2 linked regions of the Caenorhabditis elegans genome follow. The protein of the gene in region 1 interacts with the protein of each later gene in a pairwise test. Each region holds a gene or a part of one and is shown on either strand. Other genes may lie near its edges. The genes, in order: K09G1.1 and abts-2.

Region 1 (9,986 bases):
ACAAGGGTTGAGTGGGTGGGCCGCTTACCCTTTCCTTTCTCAACTTTTTTTCAAATAGGTCAACATATTTTTAGACTCTTCAAGGTGCATAACACACTTATTGAAAAAAGGGTTGAAAACGTGGAAAGAGTCCCGGAGATTGAAATTGGGGCGGGGGCGCATTATAATTGAGAAAAGGATGAGAGGAAGACAACTTCCTTCTGGGAACTAAAAGTTTTATGACGTCTGAAGAGGAGAAGCTCATGTTTGAATAGGTATTCCAAATAGGTGTCTAAACGCCTGTCTGACCTGTCTCGCGTGATCAGTCTTGGAGTAGGCAGGGTTGATGTTGGTGCCGCTGCCTGAATCTAAGGCTCCATTAAATCCCTATATTATAACAACAAATAACTTAGATTGCAAATAATAAACAGCTGCCTTTGAGAAAACAATCAGATTGTACCAAACAACAAAAATTTTAAATCGACAAGCTTTATTAGTTTCCTCGTTTCAATGTTGTATTTCTTCCTTCCTATTTTTGTTTAGCAGATTGAGGAGCTGGACGTGCGGGTGGCTGTTTTGTCATTGGAGTTACCAAATGAGACTTGAAGATTTCCCACATATCAGTCCAAGTCCAGATCTCAGCATCATAGGATACTTTGATAATATTGAGAGTTGATTTGAAGAGCTCTTTTGCATGATTTGGTTTACGGTAGCAAAAGATAAGAATACGATAGACTTTCACAAATATGTCGGAAAGAATCTCGAATGCAGAATGAAGGAACCGAACGACAATCATGAGAACGAAGATGAGAGCAGCCCAGATTATATCGATTACATCCTAAAAAACATAAAATTGAACTACAAAACAAATGCACAATAACATACCTTAATGCCTGTAGATCTTTTCGGTTGTGGAGTTTCTGCTCTTAGGCTGTCGGGTTTCTTTTTCTTCTCGGACATTGAAGTTTCAGTTTTTGGAATCGCAGTGCGAGTCGAATTGCTATTTTCCTTCAAAAACGATTTTGAAGAACAGTCAGCATTGGATTTCACTTACCATTTTTTGAACTTTCCGTCGAATTTTGCCACAAGTAAATTAAGCAATAAATTTTCATTGGAAATGGTCTGTTTTTCGAATTCGTTACGTGAGTTTTGCAACGTTGCAATCTTAATAACGTCCGTGAACTTTTAATAACTTTCCAATTGCAAGAAATATTCAAAACGGCCAAATAAATTTATTAAAAATTTATGAAAGCAATTTCATATTGAAAAACAAATGTCAAGTTTCAGAACAATAAAAATGCTAATTCTACCTGTGAGCGTTAAACAATACAACACAAATTGGAAAGGCTCTTGAAAAATTATAAGTGAAGTGAGAATAAGAAAATATAAGGTTTTTGGTTGATAAACGTTGGCAATTCAATATTTGGATTGAGGACTAGTCAAATTGAATGGAGGCTAAGAATGGATCATCACAATTGGTCAGTTTGAAAGAACTTTTATTTAAGCTTGAGCATTTCCGGCTTCAATCACAGTTGTTGGCTCGTTTTCTCCTCTCCACGCCTTCAGCTTCACGACGGTTTCAATAGCAAACAATACTGTTAAGGCGACGCAGATCACCTGAAATTAATGTATTTTGCAAGTGAAAACAATATAATGCAACTGTAACTATGAAAACAAATACTTACAGCAGTCATAATAGCAGCTCCTCTTCCATCCGTTCCCCAGCTAGCAGACAAATGAACCATTAACCAGATTGAGATGAAGTACAAAAGAGTGTTGACTCCATAGAAGATCAGCTCCTAAATTTTTCAAAATCTATGATTCGATCGGCATGAACCTGGTAATTACCACAACAATAAGTCCCTCTCTCGTGGCTTCATCTTTGATGGTAAGATGTGGGAAGACTACATAACCAAGAAGAAGTGCAGAAACAATAAGAAGAGTTTCAAATGAGATATGCTCAGTCCAGGCGGCTGTTGTTGTTCGACGATCAGCACAGATGGCAAGGATGAAGGCGATGAAAGAAAGAACCTGTTAAGTATTCAGGTTTTATGATTTGCAAGCAAAAAATTACTACTTGTCTGCCTACAATATAGATGTGACTCGACTTATTTTGCCGCCGATCTTTCAATTTAAAATAACTATTGACATGCAATACAGCTTCAAAAATTAGGAGGATGAGCACATTCCAAACTCACAATTTCAGCAATCTTCAAAACTCCGGCAAGTGTTGCCAAGTAACCAGTGTTGAGTTGTCCTTGACGGTTTGTTGGAATGATTTTCACCTTATTAGCCATATGGAATTGAAGCTTCTTTTTCTCCTGAAATAACTTGATGTTTAAAAAATAATTTTAAATTTTTAACATTTTGTGTACCTGCCCTGCACATTATCAAAAAGGTTGGTGCATTTAATTAGGGTTATTAATAATATTTCTAAGTGCTTTAAAATTTGAATCTTAAGTTAGGAACCTTCTTTGGAGAAGAATCAGGTCTTGTGATGTCATCAGAATGGGGTACGTCCTTGGCCGGTCCCAATTCAACGGTTGTTCCCTCTTCGGTTTGCATCATTTTCTATTCTTCAATGGTAGAAGGATTATGATTATGGATAGGTAAGTTGAAGAGAAAAGGAAAATATGAAAAAGAAAAACAGGTATTGGGAGAATTCCAAACTTTTTTAGATTCCTTTTATTTGGATGTTTTCGGGTATTCGTCTTTTGATGACAAAGCCAAGAAACATGCATTGTCAATTTTTTTACAAAAAGGCAAAAGCAAGAACACAAAAAGTATCGATAAAGCGTGGAAAAGTAAAAAAAAAGAAGAAGAAAAAGAATAAAATGTGAGTTTTGTAAATAAATACAGACACAGTCATGACCTGGTTCTTCGGAGAAAAGTGACAGAAGATACGTGTATATAGTAGTAATATCGAAGTTGAAAAGAAGAGACACAGAAAAGACCGGAGAAGGAAATTGGGAAGAAGAAGATCCGTAAGTGATGATAGCATTACGCGGTCAAGAATCGAGATGAGAGATCGAGAGACTATTGTACTTGTAGACATTGGATAAATCTAACTGTTATGTTTCACATTAGAAAGATATTGTGAAGGTTTTTGGGTTCTTTGCAAATCACTGAGTGAAAATATACATATAATGAATATATACTTCTGGGTGAATAGGTATCGTCGTTTAGTTATTAATCATTCTTCTAATAATTCAATGATTTAAAATGAAGATGGTACTCATAAACCACATTTTCTGTAGAAAGGTTTCGAACTCGACCAAAAAACTGTTTATTTTCCTTCAAATTTTCTATTCTAATTAAGCTTTACTTACTTTTATCTAAACATTGTGCACATTGCTCTAATTTATTTCTGAATTCGTGTTTTTTCGTAAATATTTTTAGATTGTTTGGTATTTTTGGGTTATCGCGACATGGACCTTTACTGTGCTACCTTAAATTTGCGTGTATTTTTCCTGACAATTTCAGAACAAACATAGAACTGCAAACGATACAAAATTGTATTAATTCATGTATGAAACAGACGTTCGTGATTTTTTAAGTGTTTTGAGTGAAATTGAAATCCGATTTCTTATTTAAAAAATAATTGTATCATTAAAGGAAATGAAAAAAAAAATCTCGAGAAGATATGAAATAAACCTAGCTGATTACTAGAGAAAAACAATCCAATTTGATAAATTCTAGGTAATTTCAAAAAATAAACAAAATGTCATTGTGAATGGCCAATTGAAAATCATTCTTCCGCATCATGAAATGAATCGAGGCATAGTGAAGACACGATTCCAAAGTGTCACTTTTCACGTTCGGAAACTATGTGGACATCACTCCTCAAAGTCAAATAACGAGAGGGTCATGTTCTTTTCTTCAAGTGGAAAACATCCGGAAATGGAGGCAAATGGGAATTTAGATTTCAGGAGAGAGGAAAAGGAAGAAGATGAGATACTAAGAGAAATAGAAACTGACCTTGGAATGATTTCTATCTTTCCAACGGGGTGATAAAACACTAAAATACACTTTGGTGTTCCCATTCTTCTATCAAAAAAAGTAAAAAATAAATATTTTCAATTTGTTTGTTCGCCTTTTTCGTGGTTCTACAAAAAGAGGTATTTAAAACCACAGTGTCCAAATCAGCTTGGAGTGAATCATATAATTGCGGTTTTTTAAGAAAAATAGGTTGTATCTTGATATCGATGATATGTAATCTTATATCTTGGTCGACGAAAAACAATTGCTTGAGATTTGTCAAGTATGTCAACACAAAAAGATACATAAAATAGTTTCATAAAGTATTTACAGTTGCATATTTGGCTCAATTTGGCACACAATCTCACATATTTCATTTCTATAAAACATTGCAAAGTTATGACCATGTTTAGTTTCTCAATGGGCTTTGGAAAATATGCATTCAACCAAAAAACGATGTATCGGGAGAAAAAACCTGAAAAATTCCCATTGGAAATTTTCTGAATGATTCTTAAAATGAAGTGTGTTTAATAATAATTTTAAATTAATTTTAAATAAAACTTCTTCCGGTCAATCTATTTCAACGAAGTTAAACCAAACCAAAACAAGAACAAAAAATGATAAGAAGGTGTGGTTTTTCCGTATTCTTCATCTATTTTTCTTATTGTAAAAAAAATCTTCAATCCATTCGTCTACGTCTATCATTAGGCGGTCTTCAGTTACCTTTTGTAAAGCAACGACGACGGTCGAAAGAATAAATACAGAAGTGAATTTGAATCGATCGAATAAATGGACAGGTAAATAAATAACTGGTAGACTGGGAGGATAGAGAAATGAAACAGCAAAATGGATAGGATCAAATCGGTGAAAAAGTGGGACTGTATGAAAAAGAAGAGGGGTGAACCGGATCTATCAATAGCACCAACTACTAGTACTCATAATTATACATTCTCATGATGACATGACATGTCTGAATAAACACCACATGGATTTTTTAGATTAGGTTAGCTGTCCGAAACTATTGGAACATATTTTAAAACTTCCTTATTTAAAAATCCTGTTCAATTTTGAAAAAAAAAACACTTTTGAAAACAGTTATTTGAATGAAAGCACTTAACATAATTTTTGAATTTGACAAACATAATATTTTTTACAAATTTTATAGTACTTGATTTAAATTTGTTGAATTGGCAAAAATTGTCAAAAAATGGTTATTTTTGCCAATACTAATTATAAACAACTGAAAACCGGCTGATTGAAAAGCACTTGGCAAAAGATTTCGATGTGTTCAAACGTATCAAACGTATCAAGATACATGTCAAAATCACCACTAACATCCCTAACACCTTTCATTATCAAAAGCTTCTCAAGCAACTGCTCATGCTTCTCCCCAGCATTTTTTCCCTGTTCGTTCGTTGCGGGGGCAGGTTACACGGACTCACACAAACACGTACCACTGTCTTGGTTTCGGTGGTTCCGTCCGGTTTGCGGATTGTGATGATTTCTGTTTCACTCATTTTTCCGTCTTCTTGTGGATTTTCTTGAAAACTGGCAGCCGCACGACGTACTTCCCCTGCAACAATCTTCCTGAGTCAATTGAAAAAAGGTAGAGAAAAGGTCACAAATCAGTGATAGTGCAAGAACATAGTGTTAGAAATTAAAAACTAAGAACATTACTCGTAAGAAAACTCATTTGTTTTTGGAGTCTATGAAACAATTGTGTAGATGGAATCACCTGACTGTACATTCTAGGTTTGCAGTGAGCAAACAAAAGATTTACTACTCCTACTCAGAAACGGAAAAACAAATGAAAAACTATTGCAGTGTGAAACTATAGGACAAGTAGCTCAGTAATCTTCGACATTAATAATGCTCGTGATAATTTGTTTCTTCTAAACTAACAGAGACCTCATATTTTCCGTAGAAGTCGTACTGACCATTACTCAACTTTAATAGCTCATAACTCGGGTTCTTTGTTTAAAAATGAAGTATTCATAGACAAAACCCCAATGTAATTTTGTAATTAGATTCGTTGATATCTGCAAATGAACTAAAATAATTGCTAAAAAATGGAGTAATATGGTGCATGTCTAATGGTAAAAATGCTGTAACTATCTTGTATCTCGACATTTAATATACATTTAATATGCAGTATATTTGAATTTTTTGAAATCATTTGATACAAATTTATTTAATCTATTTAGAACCAACTCTAGGAACTTTGAATCAAATTTATCAGCAATAAAACTGATAATTGGAAATAAGAAGGCCATCACCGAAATGACCAAAAAAAACTCCGAATGTCTTCATTTTTCCTTCAATCGTTCTTGTTTTGAAAGAAGGTGATAAGATGAAGAAAATAGGGAGAAATGAAAAAAAGTTCAGTTGTACGATATGAAACTTATAACGAGACATTAATTTTAGCTTCCTGGTTTCTAAATGTGAAAACAGAATTCAAGTAAAGCATATCTAGATGGAATCTCTAGCCTATTTTTTAGAACTTAAAGTGAATTCACAAGTTCTTTTCACAAAGTTCATGATCTAAAACAAGCAAATTTAGACACCGAGCTTCTAGGTTTACGCATTCCTAACTCAAATACCTTCAACAGGAATAGCCGCCGTAAAACCAGCAGTGGATCGAAGCGCCGTAGCTACTGATTTTTCGTCATCTGTTTCTTTTTTCATTGTCTGTCGACTGGGCAGTCAATCAAGAATGCAACAAAAAAAAACGAACGACAATAAGAAGAAAAAGAAGACGAGAAGGACTGTAACTAAAGTTGGGAGACCAAAAATGAGAGAACGGATAGGAGGAGCTGACATTTGTTTTGATATCGAAAGTAATGTATATATTATTATTATTCAAGACTGAAAGTTAGAATTGAAAAAAAGAAAAAAAGGTACGGTCTGGAAACGAAACTTTGAAGAAAAGGGAAAAAGTTTGGAGCCATCCTTAACTTTTTGTCTTGGTACACTGTTTGCTCAGCAATAGAGATTGAACGGGAATGGTTTTTGGCAAGAAGAAATAGGTGAAGCACTCAATAAAAAATAATGTGTGTCTCTAAGAGATTCAGAGAAACATTCCTCTTGTGACGTGGCACTTCAAGCATTGAACAGAGTCATATCTTTTACTTACTCCAAGAAATTTTCAAGTTATCAAATCAGTTGAATGACTGTCTAAGTCTCTTTAATTTCAGTAATGTCTAGTACTAATCATTCGAGGTGTGGCATGATTGATTTGTTTCTTTTTATTTCATTTTGGTGATGAAGAGAAGAAAGAAAATAAATTAAAATCACCTAAAATTGAAGTCAAGTAGTAATCTTCCAATCGGCTGGCAGGTAGATGAGTAATCATGATGAGTTCTAATAAAGTAGTGAACGTTGCAGGCTCATAGCCATTTCAAATATTCAAATTTTCAATATTCATTCAGAATGCGTGATGAGAGGTACGTCGTCACGCAATACAATTGCCGGTTTTGTGAGAAGGAAGAGAGATCGATTAGAATGAAAGTGATATAGAGAGGAGAAACCACTTGGCTGGATAAACATGTACTTGATGGTTAGAACTGTCGGAAAAGCAAAATGGATTGTGTTCGAGAAAATATGAACATTTGGAAAGTTTTGAGTTCTGAAGCTTTAAAAGAATAATAAGATAAAATACGTTCACAAAGTCTTTTGAAATTTTATACGGGCAACTCGGACTGAAAAAGTTAGACAATCAATGTGAAATCGGGTTTTTTACAGAAAGTCTCTATATTTAGCGTTAAATTAAAATTGAATGTTACTAATGTGAACATTTGTTGAATTGGACATCAAGATTTTGTTTCGCAATTATTTACCGTAATCTTGAAGGCGCATATACAAATATATAGAGGGCCGTAAATTGATACGAGCTACAGTAACTCGTTGTCCGAGTGGCGAGACCCCTGCGAGTAAAGTATAACCAACATTAAAATATCTAAACGTCTGCGTTATACGGAATTTTTTATGTATTAAACACAAATGAGTCTCTCTTAAAAACTCGTAGAAAGAAAACATGCAGTATTTCAATAATCAGATAACTTACCAAAATTAAACTCTGCCTCAGCTGCTCCTCCATTGTGTCGATGGGATTCGAACCGCAAATTCTTCATTTTCTTCGAAAACTTCGCTTACTACTTCTACTAATTGTCGAATGGCAACAGGAAACACGAAAAGAAAGATTATCCTTTATTTCTGATTCTCTGTATCTCCAGGTCTACCTAAACACTTTAATAGAACAACTGTTCACTAAAGAGCATTTGATCTTTCTTTTTTCGTTTTTTCTTCTCTTACATCGTTTAACCTGGAAAAGGGGTTGTATTTCCGTAAGCCATCTACCCTTGTCTCTTCTTATGTTTTTTTCTTGATTAATGGTTTTTGAGAATACTGTGAGAGCATAAGAGATTTGAAAAACCTATAAGAACACTTCGGATTCCCACAGGATGGGCACTAAAGAATTAGTTTTTCTAAACTTCAGAAAATGGGAGTGTCTCTCAATTTCCTTATCGATTATAAAAGTGTTTGGTATTTATATATAAATCCATTAAATATACATAGCTTGCACCATGACCTACAGCAACAGAAGCCAATATCCCAATTGTGTGCGACAACCTTGCAAAATAGCGTGCGCGGCTTGCAAAGTGGGCGGGACTAAATGTATTGACACTGTGCAGTTTGAATGTAAAAATTTATTCTTAATTTTCGGTATTTTCTTTGGTTTTTCGTTATTATAATTGATTTTTAATGATTCTTTATTATTATCTTAATTCAAAGAGTAGAAAAACTTTATTGCACCCGTCCTTTTTGTTTCTCGAATCCAATATTGACACATTTTTTGAGAAACTTAAGTTTTTTCTTAATTTTTCGAATATTTTCGACAAAAACGCGCATATATCATTAAAAATATGACACTTTTCCTTGTTTCTTTTATTTGTTTAAATATTTGTATGAAACCTATTGTTCGTAGCCATCTTGCAACTGTGTGTCGATATCGATTTTCCCAGAACAAATGTCAGACGCTCTACATCACTTTTATACAACCGTTTCTTCTCACCGTTCTCTAATAATTTATTCAATTCATAATTATGTTCTCAGGGTCAGTTTAATCAACAATGTCTTCCTCTGAGAGTGCTTCATCAGACGAAGAGACAAAACGCCGTGCTCCAGCCACTTCAGATTCCGATTCTGACTCAGACGCAGGTCCAAAACCTGGAAAACCTCTCAGTACCGACTCCTCGGCATCCGATTCAGATGCCGAAAAACCACAGTGAGTTTTACTGTTTTCTATCCAAAAAAAAGTTATACGAGTTTCCATTTTCAGGGCAAAGCCTGCAAAAAAGAAGACTTTAACAAAGCGAAAGCGGCGAGCTACTGGAAGTAGTGACGATGACCAAGTAGATGATGATTTATTTGCTGACAAAGAAGACAAAGCAAGATGGAAGAAATTGACAGAATTGGAAAAGGAGCAAGAAATTTTTGAAAGGATGGAGGCTCGTGAAAACGCGATTGCTCGAGAAGAAATTGCTCAACAACTTGCTAAAAAAGCAAAGAAAAGTTCTGAAAAGGGAGTCAAAACCGAAAAACGAAGGAAAATGAACAGTGGTGGAAGTGATGCAGGTTCCCCGAAACGCAAAGCTTCATCGGATTCCGATTCTGAGATGGATGCTGCTTTCCACCGACCCAGTGATGTAAGTTTATTTTTTTATTTTTCAAATAAAAATTTTTATTCCAGATTAACCGCAAACATAAAGAGAAGAATGCTATGGATGCTCTGAAGAACAAACGTAAAGAGATCGAAAAGAAAAATGCAAAAAACGAAGCACTCTCTATCGATGCTGTTTTTGGAGCTAATTCGGGATCTTCAAGTTCGTCTAGTTCAAGCGAAAGCTCTCGTTCATCATCTTCTTCCCGCGAATCATCACCAGAACGTGTATCCGAAAAAGATAAGATAGTAAAGAAAGATGTTGATGGACTTTCGGAACTTCGAAGAGCTCGATTGTCCCGTCATAAAC
Region 2 (8,859 bases), on another chromosome or scaffold:
GGTACAGATTAACAAATTCGATATTTATTATTTATTTTGTATCACCGTTTTTAGACTGAAACCGGAACTTCGGTGTCATGCGGTTTTGTGCAAGAAGAGTGCCGAACCGGGAATTATCAACACGCGTCTTCAGAACTTCTTGCATGCTGCACTTCAGGAGTACAAGCGTGAGAAACTCTCTGCTCAGAATGCTCGTCTCACCGGATCAGCCGGGTGTCCTCGTCGCAAGCTCATTTTGCAGACTGGAACCCTCAATTTCCGTCCGCCTGTTAGCCGATCAAAGTCAGCGCCTCGTCTGGGCAGTATTGACGAAGAACAAGAAGTGAGTGTTGGAAATGTAGAATTGCGTTTGCTTCTTTGAATTTAAAGATAAAAAACCTTTTGCTATTACAAAATACTATGTTGTTTTTCTCAGGAAGATGAAGAGCAATTTGGTTCTGACGACAATGAGTCAGTGTGCTACCGTGCTGCTCCAGATGTCGACTCCAACTCATCGTTCCCAGTTAGTGACACTTACAAGTCTGATGCCGGACCAAGCAGTTCATCGACTACCGGTGCAAGTTCTGTGTGCTCCGATGATGACAGGACAACTCTGCGGCTCCCTGTGACGGATCCAGACAGCCTCTCTGAAGAAAGCGGTAAGTAAAACAAGGGGAAATGTGAAGTTGTCAATCATAGTTCATTTAATTTAGTTCAATCAATTAAATTTGACAAATAACTAGGTATAATGTTCTCGTTTTACAGGATACCACGAGGAAGGCAAGCTGGCTCGCGAATCTAGTGAAGAAATCTATGCGTCCGACAACGATCTGGTTATCCTCGAAGAAGATTACGAGGATGATGAAGAGGTTGAGCAAGTAACGTCGCTCTGAAGCTTGTTATTTTCATCAAATCATTGAAAACACAATCAAACTCAAATTTCATATTTCAAATTCCGAATGATATTCGACTCTTTTCGCGGGTCCGTCGCTTTTTTGTTTTATTTTTGTTCCAAACCTCTCAAACCTATTAACTAAAACAAAAAGTCTCAGAATTCTCAGCATCATTTTTATATTCTTTTCCCTCTTTCTTTCCTTCTCGCCATATGTTGAACCCAAAAATTATCGGTTTTGTCCTGTATGACTATACTTTATATACTTTAAAATTAGACTTTTTCTCTTAGTTAACTTAAACTAAATGTTCGCTAGACACGATCCTCTCTCCTACTGCATCTGTTCAAAGATTCTGCCAATACTATTATTTTAATGTAATATCGATTGATTGTCATTAATGTATTACTCGTTTGTGATTGTTCTAACATTTTCCGCAATTTTATTGCAATTTTTTTTGTTTGGAGCTGGGTCATGACTAGACATGACTTGTCGTTTCTGGTGCAATGACTAATGCAATTGGCGAATTTTACCAAAGACTGTTTTGATTACGCATATGATATTACAATAATAATGTTCAAAAGACGCTTTATAAAAAATGTGAATTATATGTTTTGTAAAAATAGGGTGGGCATGTTCAATGCTGTCCATCAATTGCTTCTAAATATTGCTTTCGGATGAACAACGGAAGGAAGAAGTGTCTGAAAATGTTCGAGTCGAAGTTGTAATTATGAAAAAGGTGTACCTGAATGGAATGAAAGCTGCGATAACAATAGGAAACACCATCTCAACGTAGTGATACTGTGCAAAACCGATAGCCACAAGGATTACAAGTTGGATGAATTCAATGATCGTGAATTGATGAACCACTCTTTGAGGAACACGGCGGATGTAATGTGTTGGTGGATAAGCACGCTGAAAAGGAACAAATATCTTATTGTCAATAAAAACGAACGTCCTACTTGTTCGGTGAAAATTAGCAAGATTCGCTCCCAAAACTCGTTTCCAGTCAAACTGCTGAATGCCATGAACAGGAAAACACCTAAAATATGTCATATGAAAAAGTTGCTTTTAAAATCAAACAAAAAAAACCAATCCCTGCATACTAAGTAAATGTATGTTTTAAGGTAAAGTAAAACCATTTAGATTTTGTCTCAATCCACTTGCAAAATCTAAATCACTAAATATTATGATAAAAAACTTCTACATTTTAGTCAAATATCAAATTTATACACAAACTAAACTCTTTGTAGTTTTTTGCGAAAAAAAACAGAAAATTTCACTGATTCTATATGATTACCGTTAAAGATTGATGTTGGAATAAATACTGTGATGTGTGGAACCAAAAAGAAGTAGATTGGTATCATAATGATGTGTGCAATTAACGTTGCCAAGCGAGTTTCTCGAACGTGAACGATTCTGAAAGTTAGTGATTCATTGTTTTAAATTAATTTTTTAAAGATCACCATATTAGTTATTGTACTTTAACATTTCAATTTTAACACGGTAGGCATGACCGCTATTTCAAAAATGTTGGGTATGTTTTTTTTTTCAATCGTCATATATTTTTAATTATTTGTTTTCCACTCAAATGTTCTTTGTACTCTACGTCAACATTACACTGTCTGTATGTATCCGTTATGTAGACGATCTTCCACATCACTCAGTGCCTTCAAATGTAGATATGCTGATGGTAGGGCTCCGTGCATCCATGGTAATCCGAAAATTGATAATCCAATATTTAAAACTCCAACAACAAGCAGATCCCAATGATGTGCAGAACCCTTTTTCAGCCTGGAAGAATGTGATGGAAGACAGACATAGCTATAAATCTCCACTCACTTATTGTCTTTGTTGTCAACAGTATTGGTAACAAGAAGTTGATCCATAAAAAAGAGAATAGACAATGGAATGGCAAGACCAACTGCTGGTAGTTGAGCTTCAGCGGGTAAATTGAAGAAAGGAACAAAGAATGCATCGGTTTCCCGTGAGAAAATTTGGAATTGTTCTTCTGAAATAAGATCAAAGTATGAATTTTCAACCTCAAATTTTCTCTTACTCTTGACATCACTAAAACCAAAAAACGAAATAAATGAAAAAACGAGAACGGCAATTGGCAAAGCATAATCAGATACTAAGTCGCGTTTCCATCTAAAAATTTTACTGATTTACGGATTCTTGTCAATTAGTACCTTGAAAGATATGGGGAACTTCTGAATGAAATAATTGTCATACTGAGCCAAGTAGTTCCAAACAGAAGGAAGATAAAAAGAAGTGGTTCGGCAGGGTCGCAAAGATCACCAGCAACATTATTAATGCATCCAAGATATCCATGAGTGTAAACTAAACAGAAATTGTAGAGCTTAGGATGTTACTATATTTATTTTTCAAAACAATTTATAGAACAAGGTTTTTCTAGGACAGTCTAGCGTTTGATGGTACTAGCCGCAAAACATGAATGAATACTGAGAATTTATGTGTTTTGTTATTATTCAAAAACAATTTGTACAGGTTTTTTACTGCAAGAAAGTTTTGATATTACCGTGAACAATTGCCATAATTGCTTTTATGATAAGAGCCAGAGCAATGAAAACTGAGAAAATTTCTTCGGTGGATCTAAAAACTCTCATGCTCGTTTTCGTGAATCATCTCAATAATACCTTGTTGTAAACTTCATAAGTGATGCTAACTGAAATACTGATGCTAGAATCAGCAAACCCATTGCGTAAATCCCAACAGACGCGTACATTTGAAAGAAATCCCAATCGTTTGTCTGTGCAACTTGATAGATCACTGAAAAACAATTACAGAACATAAAACATATTCAATTTTTGTGTCACCAGCAATGTAGATACTCAATGGAGCCGTGGTTGAAAGAATCAAAAGTTGTTGACCTCCAAATATCCCAAAAAGCAAACTTCCAATCCATTGCCCCAGAACCACTTTTTGTACATCTACAACTGATTTTGTTTTGAAATGTACTACAGTATTCCTTACTAATCGCCCCATTCGTATTGTTTTCATTCAACATTCCATATGCGATTGACGTTGGCAATATTGTAAAAATCAAAAATACTGCAGTTGAAATCACTTTGGAAACCGATCGACGGTCCTTGATGCCTTTAAGAATAACTCGTTACTCGGTTATTTTCATTTGTTCACAAAATCTCACCGTCCAAATAATCCGATTTGTAATTTGCCATGCGACGTTTGAAATCCTTGACCAGACCGCGGAAAGGATAGTAGGGACAAAAACTCTGAAAGCAGAAGGTACATTATTTGAAATCAGATACAAAGTGAGTTTACAGAATTTTTTGATTCATACTCATCATCGTCATCCGCAATTGGTTTTCCGTTAACTTGAATAGTGAGCTGTTGTGAAAGCCCTTTTGCATATTCAGTTAACAGGTCACGAAGCTGGAATAAAAAAAATAAGATTATAAAATTTTTGTCTCTATTAGTATTGCAAGCACTACAATTTTTCAATTGTTCATTTTCACTGCAATACGAAACGAAACAAAATTCTGAAGTATAATTTTTGATCAAGCACGTTTGATTAAATTTAAAAAAAAAGATTTGTTTTTGACAACTTCACAAATGTATTATGAAAACAAAAACATTAGAATAATCACAAAAAGTTGGGGAGTACTATCAGGGACGAAATTTCAAAATGAACAGTTATTTTAATTTTCAATGTCAATTTGACAGCAACTCTAGTGCGGGTAATTTTAATAGTTAAAGCAATGCATAGTAAATTATTTTATTTAAAAAAATGCAACTAGACACTATAATCCGCATTAAAAACGACTTTGGTAAAAATTATCAGTTTTTACTTTTCAACCCCAGATTTTAATGTTGTCTTTTAACCTGATCATCATCGGCTGCATCATTCACAGATTGACGGAGTGTGTCATTCATTAAAAGGGTAGCAAAAGTTCTTGCAATTTCCGCTGCTGACTTTGTATGTTTCTAGACATGAACAACTATTATTAATGAGAGCCGTTTAGTATGCACACCTCATAGCTTGGCGAAAGAATAAGAACCACAGTCCTAGCTTCCTCCATTTCCAGACCAAGATTTGTTGCATCCTCAAGAGTCGCCAATGCCATGTGGCTTTGTTTTAGGCCATCAAGCTGGGCACTGAAGGTGGCAGCAATAAAAGTTAAAACATATGCAAAGAAACAACTCACTATGTCACAATCCAGGTTTGGTTGACGTCGAAAAAGTCAGTTCCTGAGTAACTTTGAAGCTTATGGTGAAGGCGTGGAGCACGCGAATCTCTATCAGACACCGAGAACACGGCATTTTTAAACAGAGCCAGATCGAACTTTTCCTGTGGGAACCGAGAGGATAGATCGGAAAACAACCTGAAATTAAGTAAGCATACGATTAGTTGATTAAAATATTAGCTAAACCGTTTTTCAAAATACTGCAATGGAAAAGAGAAGTAATACAAAACTTACGACAACAGAATTGTGTGGATATGAGAATGATTCATGTTTCTATGAATGCAAGCTCTTTCAATCAAGTGATCAACATCCATTAATCCTCGTACTTCAGTCTTAAAGTTTCGCGCATGTTCCACCCTTTCCGTTCGACATAGTAATTCAGGCATTACTACTGAAACTCAATTTCACAGTTGATGAGTATTGAATAAACGTAGTTAAGTAGTAAATAAGTGCAACAAAAACTTGAAAACACGCATAAGAATACAATTTTGCAAGTATACGATATTTAAACCCGAATTCAAAGTGAGGCTTTGAACAAATCCATTAAATTCGTACAATCCAAATGAGCCAATAAACCACCGTAATACTCCAAGATGGTATCTTTAAATGGTTTTTGTGAATTACTATGCTTTAAAATTAGAACCATGTGGTGTTGAAGAGTTTTGAAACGAATAAAACTAGAAACGATATTCTAGAATATTTTGAAATAAAATGCGAATAACGTTGATACAATTTGAGTTATGACGCTGTCAACAGTCATTTTCTGTTGACATTGACTCCTGGATTAGTTAAAAATGCAAAAATATGCAGAATGTTTCAATTGTGTCCGTCATCGGTAGCGTTAACTTTCAATTTCTATGATAACTCTGCATTTTCGGTACCATAGTTTGTGTAGAATGTGGTAGAGTAAGACATGGAGTGGTTTTATTAAATAAGACTATGTTTTACAAATTTATTTCTTAAAACTTTGTGCAATTTAATAAGGAATGACAATAGAATGGAGAGGAGCAGTTCAAATTAAAGATACCAGCAATTCAATTTTTGTTGCGTGCATGAGACTTTTTTATGATTTCACAACGGGCCAGGGAGTAGAACGACAAATTCATCAAATGCGGAGAGCAAGAGCCGTGACGACATCAAGTGAGTCGCGGGAGATTGCCGCTTGGAAGATTGAATCGACCCATCTGCAAGTGAAATAAAAAGTTAATTGAAGGTGACGGACACAATGTATATCTGATCCAGACATGGAAAAAATGAACAAACCTTTCAAAAAAGTAATAGGAATCGGTGCGGAAAAAGTAGGTGTGTGAACCGTAGAACAACTTGAAGCAGTTCTCATGGTTGTCGATCTTGTCAGCAACCGTTGGCAGTCCTACACCATAATCCATGAGGGACAAATGTGCAAGTGGTTCTCTCTCCTAAAATTGATAAAAATTAATTAACAACAGTATTCGTCGGTCTGTAAAAATGTGCCTGGAAAATTCAACTACTTTAGATTTTTCAGCAACAAGCCAAAAATAGAACAACAAATCTTTCTTAAAGATAGAGAGAGTACCGCCTAAGGGTACCATTTTGAAAACTACTTAATGTTGAAAAATAATTGAATTTGATTTGTTTGCAGACAAAACAACATAATATTTTTCTACAAATTTTAGATTCTTATAATGTTCCAACTATTTGTATTTGGATATTGCAGAGGTTTGATTTAATCTCCTATATTTTTCAAAAATACCGTTTTTTTTTCCGAAATTTGGCAGTTCTCAACCTGTGACTGACTGTTTTCTTTATTTTTCGTGAACTCACGTTATGATTTCTATAAAAGTACAGTGTGTGACAACACATGACCACCCATAAATCCTGCCACCCGGATGAATTGCGCAGTTTCCGCTTCAAATATCCACACATGGTATTTGTTATCATTTTATTGACATCTTTTCTTCCAAACGAGCATTTTCGATACCAGCAAATTTGCAATGGGCTCATTTTTGACACGGGAGATTCTTCTGGTAGCAACACTTTTGTCACTAAAATTGAAAAAAATTAAAAGCATGTTTTAAAGTAACAGCAGTTTTCTTACTATCAATATCATTTTCCTCTTTCTTCTCCATTACCAAACTAGGTAGATCTATCTTTGCTCTAGCCGCATTTTTAATAGCTTCTGTAATGTCTTCAATCCAAGATGCACGATCTGGTGCAGCAAAAACAATAGAGATATCTGCGTTGTGGAGAGTGATTACATTATTTTCGCCGTCCATCACTTTGTATGTATCACCTTCATCAATCTTAAATTAAAAATTTTTAGAAGTTCCCTAACTAAAATTCCATACCATCATCCCTTTCAATTTGAATTCAGCATGAACAGTGAAAAAGTTTCCGTCCAAGTTCACACCTCGGTGCCCAAATAATATCCTGTCGGAACAAAGCACCATTATCCTACAGCATGGTGCACGTCTGGCAGATCGGAGCACAAATCCCACACGCAAAATTTTTCTGTTTGGATGAGTAAGTATTCCAACTAGTCCCGTATCCCTTTCAACTTGTAGAACGTGGATGTATTCTTCAAGTGACTGTCTGGTTGCCTTGGTCTTTTTTGCAAATTCGATGATTTTATCCATTGCAACTCCAAAGGCAGTTGTTTCCGTGTCATTCCCACATTCTGATAACTGAATTTCAATAACTCTCGCTAACACCGGTTGCCAGTTGATGAGGCGGTTAAGAATTTTCAGAAGAATCCAATTCACTTGGGTGTAGCATTCTTTTGATGATTCAAATTTTCTGCAAATGTTTAGATATAAATTTCACTACTCATTTTTGCAAACTAACGACATGATTGTTCGAAATGGAATTTTTGATCGATATAACTGATCTAGCGCAGACACATAAATGGGAAAGTTTTGAACCAAAGACTGATACAAGGGAGTCAGGTTGTGCACTGTTGCTAGTAAAACTGGCGCTACCATTGCTGCTTTTGAGTCTTCAGGTCTGCAAAAAATTATTGTTACGTCACTTGCAAAAAATCACCTTACTCATTCGAGGATTCCCTCAGTGCATCAATTAACGGCTGATGGATGGGAGGAAGCTCCTTCAGCGATCCAAAAAGTTCTTTTAAAAATCTGCAGTCTACCACGTCATCTTTGATCTTATTGAAGAAAGACTAAAAATGCGATAATTGTTACAAACTTTATTTTGTCGTGAACTTACTTCGTTTATTAATCTCATGTCTTTAGAGTAAACTAGTTCTTTCCAATAAAACTCTTTTAGAACATTGGCCAATTGCGGTTCTGGTTTACCGAAATCCTGAATCAAATATTTTTTTTAAATAAAAATCAAATGTATTTTTTTCTAATCTCGGTTGAAATTTTTCGCATACGACTTGAAAACGGATAGTGGGGAAATGACTAAAACACACTATAATGATTTTAAAATGACTAAATATCATTTTAACAATAAAAAAAACATATATATTTGGAGTCAAAAGCGGTTAAAAACGAGTTTGAACCACTTTTCGAGAAATCAGAAGCACTGCCACATGTTCAAACTCCTACGATGTTGAAATATGAAACCTAATTAAAACATAAAAAACTAAAGGAAATACCCACTGACCGTACTCCATTTTTAAGTTTTCAAAACACAATTGAAGTTCGGTTTTCTATCATAATGCTTTGTAATGGGACTATTCAAGTAATTTTAAATAATGTATATAAGTACACATCATGACGTCACGACTGTATTTAAATAATAATCTCATAATTAATCAATCA

Evidence for each region.
Region 2: the proteins of K09G1.1 (region 1) and abts-2 interact in a two-hybrid assay, tested with the Caenorhabditis elegans proteins (one large-scale study listed by BioGRID).

What each region holds. Positions count from the first base shown.
Region 1 is NC_003283.11:9,581,728-9,591,713, reverse strand, and holds K09G1.1 (MARVEL domain-containing protein), read right to left. Parts: upstream 6,643-9,986; coding exon 6,558-6,642; intron 5,531-6,557; coding exon 5,412-5,530; intron 2,556-5,411; exon of another isoform or gene 2,548-2,555; coding exon of another isoform or gene 2,449-2,547; intron 2,301-2,448; coding exon 2,178-2,300; intron 2,011-2,177; coding exon 1,828-2,010; intron 1,779-1,827; coding exon 1,665-1,778; intron 1,597-1,664; coding exon 1,480-1,596; downstream 1-1,479. Other genes in the region: K09G1.2 (Protein RER1), read right to left, coding at 509-817, 865-987, 1,034-1,036; rtfo-1 (RNA polymerase-associated protein RTF1 homolog), read left to right, coding at 9,087-9,241, 9,296-9,662, 9,707-9,986.
Region 2 is NC_003284.9:11,582,305-11,591,163, reverse strand, and holds abts-2 (Bicarbonate transporter-like transmembrane domain-containing protein), read right to left. Parts: upstream 5,490-8,859; 5' UTR 5,485-5,489; coding exon 5,333-5,484; intron 5,237-5,332; coding exon 5,060-5,236; intron 5,010-5,059; coding exon 4,886-5,009; intron 4,839-4,885; coding exon 4,737-4,838; intron 4,287-4,736; coding exon 4,176-4,286; intron 4,127-4,175; coding exon 4,042-4,126; intron 3,990-4,041; coding exon 3,867-3,989; intron 3,824-3,866; coding exon 3,710-3,823; intron 3,663-3,709; coding exon 3,530-3,662; intron 3,486-3,529; coding exon 3,412-3,485; intron 3,213-3,411; coding exon 3,062-3,212; intron 3,021-3,061; coding exon 2,929-3,020; intron 2,881-2,928; coding exon 2,712-2,880; intron 2,664-2,711; coding exon 2,490-2,663; intron 2,289-2,489; coding exon 2,170-2,288; intron 1,912-2,169; coding exon 1,832-1,911; intron 1,785-1,831; coding exon 1,615-1,784; intron 1,571-1,614; coding exon 1,507-1,570; 3' UTR 1,447-1,506; downstream 1-1,446. Other genes in the region: F52D10.2 (PID domain-containing protein), read left to right, coding at 1-1, 55-322, 416-638, 745-872.